4 linked regions of the Sus scrofa genome follow. The protein of the gene in region 4 interacts with the protein of the main gene of each other region in a pairwise test. Links are inferred from orthologs where the notes say so. Each region holds a gene or a part of one and is shown on either strand. Other genes may lie near its edges. The genes, in order: ADRB2, MAPK9, AGTR1 and ARRB2.

The links.
Region 1: the proteins of ARRB2 (region 4) and ADRB2 interact in binary tests that used the Homo sapiens proteins (3 or more experiments, as listed by UniProt). The link is inferred for Sus scrofa from reciprocal best matches to the Homo sapiens genes ARRB2 and ADRB2.
Region 2: the proteins of ARRB2 (region 4) and MAPK9 interact in binary tests that used the Homo sapiens proteins (3 or more experiments, as listed by UniProt). The two-hybrid records come from large-scale screens. The link is inferred for Sus scrofa from reciprocal best matches to the Homo sapiens genes ARRB2 and MAPK9.
Region 3: the proteins of ARRB2 (region 4) and AGTR1 interact in a two-hybrid assay, tested with the Homo sapiens proteins (2 studies listed by BioGRID and IntAct, with this or other methods). The link is inferred for Sus scrofa from reciprocal best matches to the Homo sapiens genes ARRB2 and AGTR1.

The regions. Positions count from the first base shown.
Region 1 is NC_010444.4:150,031,141-150,035,450, reverse strand, and holds the start of ADRB2 (beta-2 adrenergic receptor), read right to left. Parts: upstream 2,803-4,310; 5' UTR 2,144-2,802; intron 1,889-2,143; 5' UTR 1,656-1,888; coding exon 399-1,655; 3' UTR 1-398. UniProt on the Homo sapiens protein: Beta-adrenergic receptors mediate the catecholamine-induced activation of adenylate cyclase through the action of G proteins. The beta-2-adrenergic receptor binds epinephrine with an approximately 30-fold greater affinity than it does norepinephrine.
Region 2 is NC_010444.4:78,379,945-78,383,533, forward strand, and holds part of MAPK9 (mitogen-activated protein kinase 9), read left to right. Parts: intron 1-203; coding exon 204-369; intron 370-1,534; coding exon 1,535-1,606; intron 1,607-1,946; coding exon of another isoform or gene 1,947-2,018; intron 2,019-3,589. UniProt on the Homo sapiens protein: Serine/threonine-protein kinase involved in various processes such as cell proliferation, differentiation, migration, transformation and programmed cell death.
Region 3 is NC_010455.5:88,976,306-88,979,894, reverse strand, and holds part of AGTR1 (type-1 angiotensin II receptor), read right to left. Parts: intron 1,561-3,589; 5' UTR 1,515-1,560; coding exon 435-1,514; 3' UTR 1-434. UniProt on the Homo sapiens protein: Receptor for angiotensin II, a vasoconstricting peptide, which acts as a key regulator of blood pressure and sodium retention by the kidney.
Region 4 is NC_010454.4:52,161,223-52,164,355, forward strand, and holds the end of ARRB2 (beta-arrestin-2), read right to left. Parts: coding exon 2,892-3,133; intron 2,612-2,891; coding exon 2,474-2,611; intron 1,788-2,473; coding exon 1,704-1,787; intron 1,626-1,703; coding exon 1,546-1,625; intron 1,469-1,545; coding exon of another isoform or gene 1,433-1,468; coding exon 1,378-1,432; intron 1,109-1,377; coding exon 1,015-1,108; 3' UTR 554-1,014; downstream 1-553. UniProt on the Homo sapiens protein: Functions in regulating agonist-mediated G-protein coupled receptor (GPCR) signaling by mediating both receptor desensitization and resensitization processes.

The sequences.
Region 1 (4,310 bases), on a different chromosome or scaffold from region 4:
TCCGAGAGACTCAAGATCCTCCAGTCCAAGGGTGCAGGAAGGAAGGTCTCCTTCAGAAACAAATTGCCAGCAGCAATATATTACCCCTAATACTTGATCAATGAGGTAGATATGCGGAAAAGTCATCAAAACATACCAGCCCCACGTCCTCTGGGACCGAAGGCCTGCAGACATAAACTTACACAAGTTCCATGCAAAGAGGAACTGAACTGTACAAGAAACAATCACTCAAATAATGTTTTCTCTTTTTTACAACTTAAAAAAATAAAAAATAAAAAGGCAGAAGGATGTTCCTCCTCCTGCACATCTCTATAGACGTTCATTCTAAATTCATCACACTCGAGTTGTTTAGTGTTTGGCTGGGAGGGAAAGGGGCGCTTAGAAAGTAGACACCTGCATCACAGCATGGAGTCATTTGTACTACAGTTCCTCCCCTGTGAATCAGTGCTATCATCGGGCACAGTACCTTGCCGGTGTGCACAGCCTTCCGGGCCTGGGGGCTCCTCACACAGCCGTTCGCTGTCTTTCTCCTCCCCCAGGTAACAGCCACTCTGTTCCCCTGTGTAGTCAGTCCTACCGTTGCTGTTGCTGGAGCAGCCGTTCCCATAGGCCTTCAGGGAAGACCTGTGCAGGCACAGAAGCTCCTGGAAGGCCATCCTGAAATCTGGACTCCGGCAGTAGATGAGGGGGTTGAACGCCGAGTTGACGTAGCCCACCCAGTTTAGCAGGATGTAAACTTCCTTGGGGATGAGGTTGTCATGGATCCCGTGCACAATGTTGACGATGAAGAAGGGCAGCCAGCACAGGGTGAACGTCCCCATGATGATCCCTAGCGTCTTGAGGGCTTTGTGTTCCTTCAAGCAGAACTTGGAGGACCTCCGATGTCCCGGCCCGCTCCGCCCATCCTGCTCCGCTTGGCTGAGGTTCTGGGCGTGGAAGCGGCCCTCAGACTTGTCGATCTTCTGGAGCTGCCTTCTGGCTACTTGAAAGACCCTGGAGTAGACGAAGACCATGACTACCAGGGGCAGGTAGAAGGACACGATGGAAGAGGCGATGGCGTAAGGCTGGTTGGTGAAGAAGTCGCAGCAGGCCTCCTCTGCATAGCAGTTTAAGGCTTCCCGGTGGGTGGCCTGGTACCAGTGCATCTTAATGGGTAAGAAGGAGATAAGGCCCGACACGACCCACACCATCAGAATGACCACCCGGGCCTTGTTCTTGGTCAGCAGGCACTGGTACTTGAAGGGGGACGTGATGGCAAGGTAGCGATCCACGGCGATCACGCACAGGGTCTCAATGCTGGCCGTGACGCACAGCACGTCAATGGAAATCCAAAACTCGCACCAGAAACTGCCGAAAGTCCACATTTTCATGAGGATGTGGCTGGCCCCAAAGGGCACCACCGCCAGGCCCATGACCAAGTCAGCACAGGCCAGGGAGGTGATGAAGTAGTTGGTGACCGTCTGGAGACGCTCGAACTTGGCGATGGCTGTGATGACCAGCACGTTTCCAAACACGATGGCCAGGACAATGAGCGACATGACGATGGCCATGCCCACCACCCATGCCTCGTTCCGCTCCTGTGGGACGTCCTGGTCCGGCGCATGGCTTCCGTTGGGCGCCAGCAAGAAGACGCTGCGGTTCCCGGGCTGCCCCATGGCGCGCAGGCGGGCAGGTGAGCGCGCTGGCAGCCGGCGCACCCGCCGCGCCTCAGCGGGCCGACCTCCGGCGGGGGGCTGCGGGCAGCGAGCGGGCGCCTAGAAGCCTCATTCAGCGGCCGTGGGGTGGGTGTGGAGGGGGCGCGTGGTGCACTCAGCTCCCGGGGTGCTCGAGGCTCGCAGTGCCGGCGGGTCTCTGCCTGCGCTCCGGAGAAGCCGCCTCGGAGTGCGCGCTGCCCGTTATGTGCACAGGACTTGAGGGGAACTGCCCTCCCCGTGACGTGCTCCAACTTGGGACCAATGGCGCGCGGGAAGCCCCAAAGGGGCGAGGCCCCCCCCCCCCCCCCCGCCCCTTCCCTCCCTCTCCCGCCTCCTCCTGGGGCTGGCCCGGGCGGGGCCCCGCTGCTCCCTGCCGGCCGGTCGCCACTCCCTCCAGGCTACCCAGGCTGGCCCCAGGGCTGAAGCTGAAGTTGGGGGGTGCCGCTTACCAGCGAGCTGGGAGCTGCGCAGTCTTCTGTGGCTGCTACCTGCCTGCCCGGGCTTGTCGTGAGGCCTGAGGACCCTGGGCAGAGGGTAGTGCGCAGGCACTCCCTCCTATTCGGAAATAGACGAGAATGAGAGTGCCCGCCAGGACACGCACGGACAGGCACAATTCACCTGGCAGACGTGCACGGACTTAGACGGAGCCACAGCCACCGACACGCAGACACACCCATCCAGCACACCGACAAGCACACGCGCGTGCGCGCACGGACACACACACACACACAAGCAAATCGGCGCAAAGTCAACCTTAACTAACGCAGAGACGTGGTCAGGAACAAACCCAGCAGCACCCAGAACCACAAAGTCATAGGCACACACGAAAAGAAGTAAACAACACACTAAGGGCCACGTGGAGGCAAGCCGGGAGTCACAGCCAAGGACGTCCCCACCCATGTTCTACAAACCCTTCTCCGGCACCCTGGATCTCCGTCCTTTCCTCCCCAGCATGCGGACATTTCGCATATTCCCTTTCAAACATTTGGCGAGACCTCAGGAGGTGACTTCAGCAGCTGCCCATTTCCTCAGCTCGCTCGCTGTCAAGGACTTTCGGTGCTCTCCTTGGGAATCTGCAGGCACTGAGACAGGCTTTTACGCTTGGGATTTCATTCAGACCTGGGCTATCCATGCGTGTGTTTGGGGACAGAAAGAGAAAGTTGTATGCTTTAATTTTAATTCTAGTGAGTGTGGCATCACTCCTTCATTATCTGTTCAAGTGAAAATGTACTGAAAATAGAATAATTTTTCTTTGAAGCTCTACTTCATTCATGCCTGGGCAACTAGAAAAATCATCTGCTGGGTAGTTTGGTGATCCGAGCCATATGAAATTGCTGCTATTCTATAATCTCTGCTTCTAAAACATGGCAATTTATTATGGTTCACATTACTAAGAATGTGTAACATTAAAAATGTTTTGAGGCGTTCCCGTCGTGGCGCAGTGGTTAACGAATCCGACTAGGAACCATGAGGTCGCGGGTTCCATCCCTGGCCTTGCTCAGTGGGTTAACGATCCGGTGTTGCCATGAGCTGTGGTGTGGGTCGCAGATGTGGCTCAGATCCAGCGTTGCTGTGGCTCTGGTGTAGGCTGGCAGCTACAGCTCCGATTAGACCCCTAACCTGGGAACCTCCATATGCCGCAGGTGCAGCCCAAGAAATGGCAAAATGACAAAAAAAAAAAAAAAAAAAAAAAAAAAAAAAGGTTTGAAACCACAGAAAGGAAAAGGTATTTTTTCTTAAAAAAGTCAGACCAAGCTTCAGACGAGGTCATTTTCCATGAAATATTAGCCTTTGCATCTGGCATGTGACTTCACTGTTAAAAAGAAATTAATTTTCAGGGTTTGATTTTTACATGTATTAGTAGTGTCTTTGAAGAACTGAAAGTGTTTCACTCAGTGTAACCAAACATATTTTCTAGATTACATAATAACTTAACAATGGCTAACATTTATGAAACATTCTGCTATGTGCTTTTCATGCATTATTCCATTTCATCCTTCCCACAGTCGCCTGGTGGTGTGTGTGCTGGGGTGGGTGGGGCGGATAGTTATTTTTAATTTAATTCACAAAGGGGGCTGGAAGAGGAGAATAGCTTGCCCACAGGCACAGCCTGGCAATGCCAGGCAGGAGCTGAACCCAGTTCTCCCTGATTCTAAAATCTCTTTTTTAATCCTTTCAATGTACTGCTTTACCATGTGCAGAACAGAGTGGAGGGTAGAGAAGGATTACAACTGGAATTGGAATACTGCATTCCAGTTTCTTTCTAGCTCACATTCCTTAGGCAAATCCAAAATCTGGAGCCTAATTTCCTCTATGTCTAAATGTGCAATAAAGTTGCTTCTTTTGAGCTAAATGAGAACCAAATGATGTAATGATAAATGAGATAGTGCTTTTGCAAGTAAAAACTTCACTCAAGTAGGGTTATAAATGAGATTGATATAAATTACTGAATAGTCCAGAATATGTTGTTAGTGTTCACTAGTGGACACTGAAGTACTTTAGGACAAAAGGACTTGGGCATTTACTCCAGAACTCAGAAGCAAAACCACATGCCCTGTTTAACTTCCTTCACTAGCAGAAATTGTTTTTGCATGACAAATGCCTTAAAACACAAAT
Region 2 (3,589 bases), on a different chromosome or scaffold from region 4:
TGGAGCACTTAATCCATTTACATTCAGTGTGGTAGAATTTTCCAAAATGGTTCCAAAAATCCCAGGGTTCGATTCTAACTTTGCTCCTTCTGGCGTTCTCACATGCTTCAGTAGTCACTGACCTCACAAATCCTTACCAATGTGAGATTGTTTACTTAGCATGCTTTGGTTCATTTTTCTAATTTAAACCATTTCTATCCTAGGATTTGAAACCTAGCAACATTGTAGTAAAATCAGATTGCACCCTTAAGATTCTTGACTTTGGCCTGGCCCGCACAGCATGCACCAACTTTATGATGACCCCCTATGTGGTGACACGGTATTATCGGGCACCAGAAGTCATCCTGGGCATGGGCTATAAAGAGAACGGTGAGTACAGACAGAACTGAAAGAGGCTGAGATGTTTAGAAAGAGTGCTATTAGCCATCACTAGTTTTTTTCCCTTTCCTGTGAACTATATGGAATATAATATGGAGACTGTATTATACATAGCTTATGGTAGTTCACAGATGAGAAATAATTAATTTTATATTTCCTTCAGTTAAAATTATTCACTTTAAAAATTCACTTTTGAGATTAATATTTTTGAACATTTATCAAAGCATAACACACTTACAAGGAGGTATGCAAATCCCTAGTGGGCAGCTCGGTCGGAGCACACCCACATAACCAGCGGCACCCCAGACTCTCCGGACCCTCTTTGGGTCTCAGCCCCTGAGGGAAGCCATTATCCTGATTTCCAGCACCATAGATTGGTTTTGCTTATTTTTAAACTTGATATAAATAGAATACAAAATGTGCTTTTTATGTATAGAATTGGTAGTTTTTTTTTTGAGGAGAGGTGTAGTTGTTATTATCCTACTAATATTTTAGTTGATTTACTACTGTAATGCCATGAAATTTTCTAAATATATGGTACCAATATATTTCTAAAATTGGTATTTTTTTAACAACAAAACTTATTCTAACAATATCAGAGCTCTTAGAAACTTAGCTTTTGACAAGTTTGTCTAAATTTGACTTTTGACTAAATCACATTTCCTTGTTAAGAAAAAAGGAGTCTGAAAGCTTGCCCAAGTCATATGAAATGAGTTGCACCTCAAGTTTATTCAGATGTTTTATAACCTGTGTTCCCATTCTGAGAGACACAGCTCTGTGGGCTTCCATTCCCCCGTGGACATGAGAGAAAATCAGATCCCCTGTTAGCTTCTCCCACCCGACCCCCACCAGCAGGGGCACTAAACAGCCCTCTGCCCTGGCATCTGAGGCCTGGGGTTGAGCTGGACCCCACGAAAGAGGGTGAACGGCCAGAAGTTAGGTCACCTCTGACCTGGCCTCATCTGGAGCCCAGATAAGCCTGTCCCCATGAGGCCCTGCTGACTTGACAGTTTAGAAAAGGTTCATTCTGGAGGTTTAGTATTCATATTTTACAAAAGTCTTGCTGACAAGCTGGGTTTGTCTTTGTTTGGGAGGAGGGTTTGAGAAAAGGCTTGTGGGGGTCTCTGGCTGGTTTTAATCACCTGGTGTTTGGTAGTGGACATCTGGTCTGTCGGGTGCATCATGGCAGAAATGGTCCTCCATAAAGTCCTGTTCCCAGGAAGAGACTGTATCCTTCACAGGGAGAGACCTGGCACTGGCCACAAGGGCTGGGGGGTGGGGGTGGGCCTTTGCCTAGAAACATCTTCGTGGGGATAAGCACTTCTTATTTCTGGGGCTTTGTTTTTGAAACTGTAAAGTATTGGGCTCTTTGGCACTAAAAGCCCAGATTGCTGCAAACTGAAGGCCAAAATAGAGATCAGCAATCTTTCATACTGTGTAAAAAGTTCACCCTTAATGAGCAATTTATTTTCCATATTTGTGTGTTTAGTATACTGTTAGAATTCCTTTTCCTCACCTTTGTTTTGTTCATGGCACTTCATAATTTTGTCATTTCATTTTATTTTCAGTTGATATCTGGTCAGTGGGTTGCATCATGGGAGAGCTGGTGAAAGGTTGTGTGATATTCCAAGGCACTGATCGTATCCTTCCCGGGGACCTTCCCGGCCATGCTTTCCATAAACACCAAAGGCAGCAGGAGCTCAGAAGGAAAATGTTAATTCTAGACTGTGTTCTAAGGAGGTCTTGATTGTGTTTGTTAAATTAGTGTCACAAACCAAATGGTTCCATTTTCTGTTTTCTTTTTTACTTGACTACCTGTAATGGTTTTATTGAGGCATAGAATTAAGTTAAACCAATTTATATTAGTTCTTAGTTTTATTACAAATAACTTGTAAGAAACTTACTCTTTGACAAATGTATTTTGCTATTTAAATGAAAATAATATTTATTTAGTTCATCCTATTAGTTTAACTACGAAGTTGTCTAAATTTCATAGGCCAGTATTCTTAATGTTATTTGTTTAATAAACTATTTCGTTAGTTACCAGGATGCATTCAAATATTTCTCCCCAAACTAAGAACCAGATAAAGCACACTGCATAAGACCTACATGAAAAGATTAAAGTGAAAAGTTTGTGAGGAACAATATGTACTCAATTTTTTTATTTGTTACCCTTCTGACATTCTGTAGAAAATTTTAGAAGATCCACTTAGAAGGTTATTTTGTGACACATTGGGGAAGTCTAAATAAATATAAGATTAACTTATATTGTGGTCAACAAATCATATCAACGATGTATAGCATAAAGGAGAATAGATATATGATAGTTACAATAGCTTTCTTTTCTCATATTCCTCATATTCTTCCATCTTCAATATTTTTTACTCTAACATGGTACTTCACATATACCCTTTTCCATTTGTGTTCTAACCACTTAAAATTTTCATTAGTCTTTTGATTTTGTTTTTTGTTATGAAAGCCTAAAGTGGTCTCTGTCTGCTGGCAGATTGATGGTTATCTTTAAAAGAAATCAAGTTGTGTAGTCGATGTTTTTAATGTATTTTATTAAAGTAATTTTAGTTTTTTATAATTTTATGAGGGTGGTTTTCTTGTAATGTAAATTCTTCGAACACCAACTTGGAATGAAAAGATTTTTTTCCTATCGTTTTATTTACCTTCCTTGACATTTTTCACATCACAGATTTTATGTGAAGGTAAATATAGCATTTATTTTGTTCCAATAAATTTTCTAGCAATTTTCCATACTCTGACCTTAGATTCAGCTACTTCAAACTGCAAATAAGGGGATCTTTAATTTGCAAATAAATTCACTTAAAAAGGGAAAAGTTGATGTATTCTAAAGATACTACTTAGAAGTATCTACTTAGTATTCATTTGTCTTAATTTTTATTCATTTTGCATCTTTCCTTTTTTATTAAACGTTTTCTTTAGGAGGTACAGAAATGAAAAGTATGGGAACTTTTTGGTGCATTATTAAGTAATTTTAAATTCTTAATTTACATATTAATATATTGCAATGTCAGTAATTAATAATTTTATATATAAGGTCACCTAATGTCATTCTCAAAACACATATGGAGATTACATCATTTCCAAAGATAATTTTGCTAACTTTTTCAAACATTAGATTAAAAATTACTAGCATAGAAAAAGATTCTGGGAGTTCCCGTTGTAGCTAAGCCAAAATGAA
Region 3 (3,589 bases), on a different chromosome or scaffold from region 4:
GCTTTACTGCCCTTTGGAAATTGGACAGAGAAATCTTGAGCTTAGATCTCCTGTTGCTCCTCTCAAGGTTTAACATATTCTGAGGACCTTTTTGTGGAAATCAAAAATAACAGAACAAGAGTCGACTGGGAGGATGGCATTTATACTGGTAAAATTTTCCAAATCAACACATTCATTCAGTTTCTGACATGGTCCTTTGAGTGGACATCATCTATCTAATGCGAAATGTGGCAACATGTGACTCTGCTTTGTATAGGTGCAAAGGGAAAGAAAAGCTTTTGTTCAGAGCATTAGAAAAGTCAGTTCAGTCCACATAATCCATTCTCTTCTTAAATTCTAAAAAGTAGCTCGTGCTCATTTACTAGCAAAGTGTTGTAGAGGAATGTTTCTCTTGCTCTTTCTTTCACAAGATGACTTCACAGGTTTCAAGTGTGTCACTCAACTTCAGTACATGGGGCAGACTTCTTGGTGGAAGAGCTTCCATTTTCTGAGGGGCGGTAGGAAAGTGTGCTCATTTTTGTAGACAGGCTTGAGTGGGATTTGGCCTTTGGAGGAATGTATTTCAGAAGCTGGAGAAAATATTTTTTAAATTTTTTCCCCAGAAAGCCATAAAAGAGAGGATTCAGGCAGTTGTTAAAATACGCCAAGCAAATAGTGATGGGCATGGCGGTGTCGACAATATCTGCAATTTTACAGTCATGTATGATGCCCAACTGAATCAGTACATCCAGAAAAGTGAATATTTGGTGGGGAACCCACGAAAAGAAAAAGAAAAGCACAATTGCCATAATTATCTTGAAAATATCATCATTTCTTGGTTTGTTCTTCTGAATTTCATAAGCCTTCTTTAGGGCTTTCCAAATAAGAGTATAACTTGTAAGGATGATCAGAAAAGGAAACAGGAAACCCAGTATATTCTTGGTTAGGCCCAGACCTACAGGGAGTGTTGAATTTTGGGATTCATAGTGGAAAGCACAAACTGTGATATTGGTATTTTCGATGAAAAATACATTGCGGTGGATTATAGTTGGCAAACTGGCCAAGCCAGCCAGCAGCCAAATAATGATGCAGGTGACTTTGGCCACAAGCATTGTGCGTCGAAGGCGGGACTTCATTGGATGTACGATAGCCAGGTAGCGATCAATGCTTAGACATGTGAGTAGAAACACACTGGCATAGAGGTTGAAACTGACACTGGCTGAAGCGATCTTACATAGGTAATTGCCAAAGGGCCAGCGGTATTCCATAGCAGTGTAGACAGCCCACAGTGGCAAAGTCAGTAAAAAGCATAAGTCAGCTAGTGCTAAATTCAAAAGAAAAACACTGGCCACAGTCTTCAGTTTCATGTAAAAGTAAATGACAATTACCACCAAACTGTTCCCAAATATTCCCACCACAAAGATAATACTGTATAAAGTAGGGATCATGACAAATATGTAATTATGCCTTCCAGCTTTGGGGCAGTCATCTTGGATTCTTTTAATACTATCTTCTGTGGAAGAGTTGAGGATCATTTTGATCTCCTGGGTTAATTAGTCTCAGACACTACGCCAAATGCACCTGGGAAAAATAAAAATGAAAAAGTAAAAAAAAAAATTCTAACTTACAGTTGTAAACAAATAGTTTTAATTCTCAATCAAAAGTAACTCTATTTTTAGGGAAAAATATAGATCATGTGTTCTGGAGAAAATCTGTGCACACTTAAGTTTTGAACATATTGCTTTTCTAGAAAGTGGTAAATATTCTCTAGACAAGTGGTAGTGGGGTCCTATGTGACTACTCAGTTGAGATCCTTTGCATTTTTTTTCTGGAAGGAAATCCTACCTTCCAAATTGATAAAAAAACACAATCTAAAGCTCAGAAAATACTACTGAATTAAATTAGTTATTCAGAAAGACTTGAGTTTTTCCTGAGGTAAGCAAGGCTAATTAATTTGTATTTAACTTCAGAAAGGTGACACGTCCATATCCGATTCTTTGAACCATTTTTTTTTTCATATTACAATCTTAGGTATAAATATTATTAGCATTCTCACTTTAGTGGTCTGAATAACTGCTATAGCTTACTGAGGAATCGTGGTCATTGTGAGGATTGATTTAGGAGAGGATAAAAGGCAGGGCTCAAGGCTTTAGTGTACATATGCTTTCCATAATTTTCCAGGTCACTACAGGCAATAACCACTTATTCCTTAACTTTCAACTCAGTCTAGCAAAAGGGCCTGAATCTCCTAATTTTTATACCTACAAGCCATTTCTGGAGGTAACTCTGAGCTTAACCATTTATCTAACAAGGATGTCAAATGAATAGATTAGATCAGGCTTATCAATAAAACATGTGTTTTTTGGAGGCTCAAGACAGCAGAAGTTTTTCAGGGTTTTAGAAAGAATCAGATGCTGGAATGAGTGCTATGAAGATGTCTGCACATATTTTCTCCAATATTTTACATAATTAACAATCAAGCTATTCATTTGTGTGGTTTAGAAAAAAAAACATATTTTGCCCTAGACAAGGGTTCATTAAAAAACCCTTGGAAGGAGGCTGAAGATGCTATGAGGGTAACATGGCAGGATGTGGCACAGGCAGACCCTGAGGTGAAGGCCCGCACTAGACGCAGGCGAGGCTGGCCAGCAGGGTAGTGGTATTGGGTAAAAATCCTATTGTTCCACCAGAAGCAGGTCCCTAGATGAGCCGGTGTGCATTTCCCTTACCTTGTGTCCTGGGTAAGAAGAGGAATAAGAATAAGACACTACTAATCTGCCCAGGATAGCTGTGCTTGGCATTGGGAGAGCTGGATAAACATGCATGCCTAAGGCAGTGTCTCTCTTGGTGCAAAGTGGTGCTGTGAAAGGGATGACACTCAAGTAGCCAGATTCTGAGAGATAACACTGGGAAAAGAGGGTTCTTAAGTGGCCTCTTTGCCTCCCCCAAGGAGGCAGTTTTTCTCCCTATCCAAGTTTTTGGCTCTGCATCCTCATTATCTTCTCCTTTTGTACTTGTAACTATATAATCTAAATCACTTCCTTTTCTTTTTTCTTTTCCATTTAGGGGTTGCATGAGCATCCACAAACAGGCACTGTCACATCCTCTATGGAACCTTTCTGACTTGTCTGGGCAATTGGCTGTTCCATTTTCTGAGCTGCTTTGGCACTTTGGATGTGGTTTTGAGCTATATATTGTAATGGTCTATTGATATAGGTCTTATCCACTGATTTGTCAGCTGCTTGAGGTTAAGGCCTGTTTCAAATCATCTTGTTTATTACTAGGGTAGGCCCTGGCACCTTCCAGGAGGCAGATGATAAATATATGATGAATAAGAGACCAAGTGCACAAATGAATGAATGAATAGTATATCACTTAAAGCTGTAAGCAGAGAGTATTAAGACTAATTTCCAAGGGCTAATAGACTCAATTTACATTCTACTCCCAAAGAATATGACAGAAAGTACTCAGTGTCAACATGGGCTTCATCGTGAAGCCAAACTCAAACCCAAAGCCAAACCCAACCAAACCAAGCTAAAAATATCAACAGCAACAACAACAACAACAAAAAACCTCGGCACTTTTAGAAATCTGTAGTTTATAAAACAGA
Region 4 (3,133 bases):
GACGTAGTGTCTTGGACTTGTCCACAGCAGCACCACTGCCTTCGGCTGCCCAGAGCTTTGGCTTCTGTGTGCAGTCTAAGGACCAGGCTCCTGGGAGGTGTCTGCCAGGTGGCTTCTGCCGCTGAGGCCCGCAGCTGCGGTTCCACCAAGCCCCAGGAATGGACCGCTTGATCGACCAGAAGGAGCAGTGGAAACAAACACTCGGTCACAAGTCACCACGCAGTCATGTGTGTCAGCCGCGACGGGGAAGGGCCTGCCCTGCCCAGTCCCAAGAGCATCCCATCTGCAGGAACGTGAGCTATTACTCCCTCTGTGAATGAATGAGTTTACTTTGTGGCTTACCACATTGTGCCCTTGAGTTTGGACTGACCACATCAAGTTTCCATGTTTACCGTGGAACTCAGGTACAGCTCAGCCATTCAGGAAACGTGTACTGACAGCCTGGGGGCCTGGTGACATGTGGGGACAGAGAAGGGATGGGGCACAATGGACAGTCGTGGACGAGCACACGAAGTCCTCCTTAAACGTGCCGTAGAAAACACACACACGCGCGTGCCTATTAAAAGGTTTATTTTCTTCTTTAGCCTCAGAAACAAAGTGGCCTTGCCCCCCAGAGGGTCTCATCCTGAAGGAATGGGAGGCAGAGGTGGTGACAGGCAGGGGTGTCGGGGTGAGGTTGAATGTGGGAGCTCGTCCTCCCCCTTTCCCTGCTGTCACGCCTCTCCAGTGGCCCCTCCACAAAACTTAGGTATGAACACAGCGTGCCACCCGCTGCGGGGTTGGGGAAGCCCAGCTGTCGTGGAAAGATTAATGCCCATGTTCCCCAAGAGATGGGTCCAGTGCGTCTCTGGTGGGGAGGGGGAGGCGGGCTGGTCGCGGCAGCCGCCCAGGGAGAGGGGAGGGCAGGGGAAGAGAGGCTGGAGCCCCCGGTGCCAGCGGGGTCTCGGTCCTGCCCCTCCCTCTCCCAGCACCATCCACTCCCTTCTGCCAGCCGCCCCCCGCTGCCGCCGCCGCCTAGCAGAACTGGTCTTCGCCGTCCTCGTCCTTCATCCCCTTCAGCCGGAGCCGGGCAAAGTCCTCGAACACGATGTCGTCGTCCGTGGCATAGCTTGGTGTGGAGGGAGGGGGTGAGGCGAGGGCTCCTGACCCTCTTCTCCACCCCCACCCCCCCAGAGACAGAGGCGTTAGAGCAGCAATGGGACTGGAGGTGTTGGCAGGAAGGGACCCGGAAGAGGTGGCCATGGGCAGCTCGCAAGGCTGCCTCATCTCGCTTGGATGCTTCGACCACCCCCCCCACAAGAGGAAAAAATGGGTAGATGTGAATGTAAGGCATCTCCGACCAAGGGGCGTCAGAGCTGGGGCCGAGGCGTGTCTTACTTGGTATCAAATTCAATGAGGTTGGTGTCCACCGGGACGTCTGTTTCTGGCGCAGCTGAGGGGAGAAGGAAGGAGGGGGGGTGGGTGGGTGCTGAAAGGACCCGCCTTGTCTCCACTGGCCCTGCTTCGGGCCCGCTCTCTGGGGGCTGGGGCGGGTGGCAGGCTCACCTGACTGGGGTCTGGGGAGGGTGATGTGCTCCTGGGGCTTGGGGTGCATGAGAACAAAAGGCAGCTCCACGGAGACATCTCTGAGGGGGGGGAGAGGCGGCATGAAGAGAGGCCCGTGCAGAGCCCCCGACCCCCAGGCTCCCACCCGCAGCACTCACCCGCCTCGAGACACCACCAGCTTCACCTTGACCCTGTAGGACACGAGGATTCCCAGCACCTCCTTGTTGGCACCCTCCTTCACGCTGCGGGGGGGAGGCGGGGGGGGGAGTTGGACCAGAGCCCACGGCCTCCTCGCACCCTAGCCCACCCTGGGGGCCTCCACGGGGATTCTGAGCAGGAATCCCCGGCTCCAGCAGCACGGGCTGTTGCCGTGTAACGTACCCCATCCATCTTCGTCTCGCTCTCTCGGTCACAGCCCACGTCCTTGGGACCCATCAGCCCTGCACTGACCTGCTTTCCCTCAGCCCTCTGACCGCACCTCCTGCTCCCACGCTGGCCTGCCGTGTGTGGTCAGGCACAGGGCGCAGGGCCCGGGGGTGAAATCCGCCCCCACTCTGTGCAGCTGTACCTGCTCCAAAGACAGGGGCCCTCTCGCCTGACACCTCTGCAGCCCTGCTGCCTTTGTGTCCTTACTCCAAGTCGCCTCTGGATTTTGCCTTTTCTGGCCACCCTCTGTAAAGTCACCCCCCCCTTGATACCTCCCTTCTCTGCCTGCCTTTTTCTCAACAGCTGGCACTAAACATGCTGTATATTTTGCCATTTATCTGGTTTGCCTGGCCTCCTCCCTGAGAACGTAAGAGATCTTTTGGGTCTGTTCTGCTCCCTGATGGGGCCGTGGCCCCGGGGACAGAGCCTGGCACACGGCTGGCACGGAATGAGTGTCTCCTGTGCTGTAGGACCCCCCACCCCCACCCCCTCGTCCCCTCACATGGTGCTGGACGCCAGGTTGGTGTCCTCATGCTTGAGCTTCCCGTCCAGGGCGAGACCGCGCTTCTCTCGGTTGTTGCTGAGCAGGGGGGTTATGGTGTACACCTTACAGAACGTGGAACTGGGCGACACCTGGTCACTGGGGCAGGGGGACACGAGAAGGAAACTCTGGGAAGGGCCAGGCGGGCGGAGGGGGTGGCTCCCACCCCCAAGCGGCTTCTGCCCCATCACCGGCCCCTTCTCCCTTTGGCCTTGGGTCACGGGCTCAACCCGCTCCAGAACATGAGCGGCTCAGAGCCCCCAACGGGAGGGAATGTGCTTGGAAGCGGAGACAGCGGGGAAGGACTCCCGCCTTCCTCACACTCCGGGGCCCCTCTTCCCCCCTGACCAGGGGGACCCAGGGCTCTTCTGCTACTCACTCTTGTTCGAGCTGAGCCACGGGGCACTTGTACTGGGCCGTGCTGAAGAGGCAGATGTCCGCGTACTGTCTCACTGTGGGGCGGGGCCAAGCAGCTCTGCATGGAGTGTAGACAGCAGCCCACCCAACTCCAGCCCGCGCCCCCCCCCCCCGCAAGGACCCCAGGTCCTGGCCCTTTAGCATCCCTGCCTGAGGACATGTGCCCCCCACCCCCCCATCCTGGGACAGCCTGCATTCCTTGAG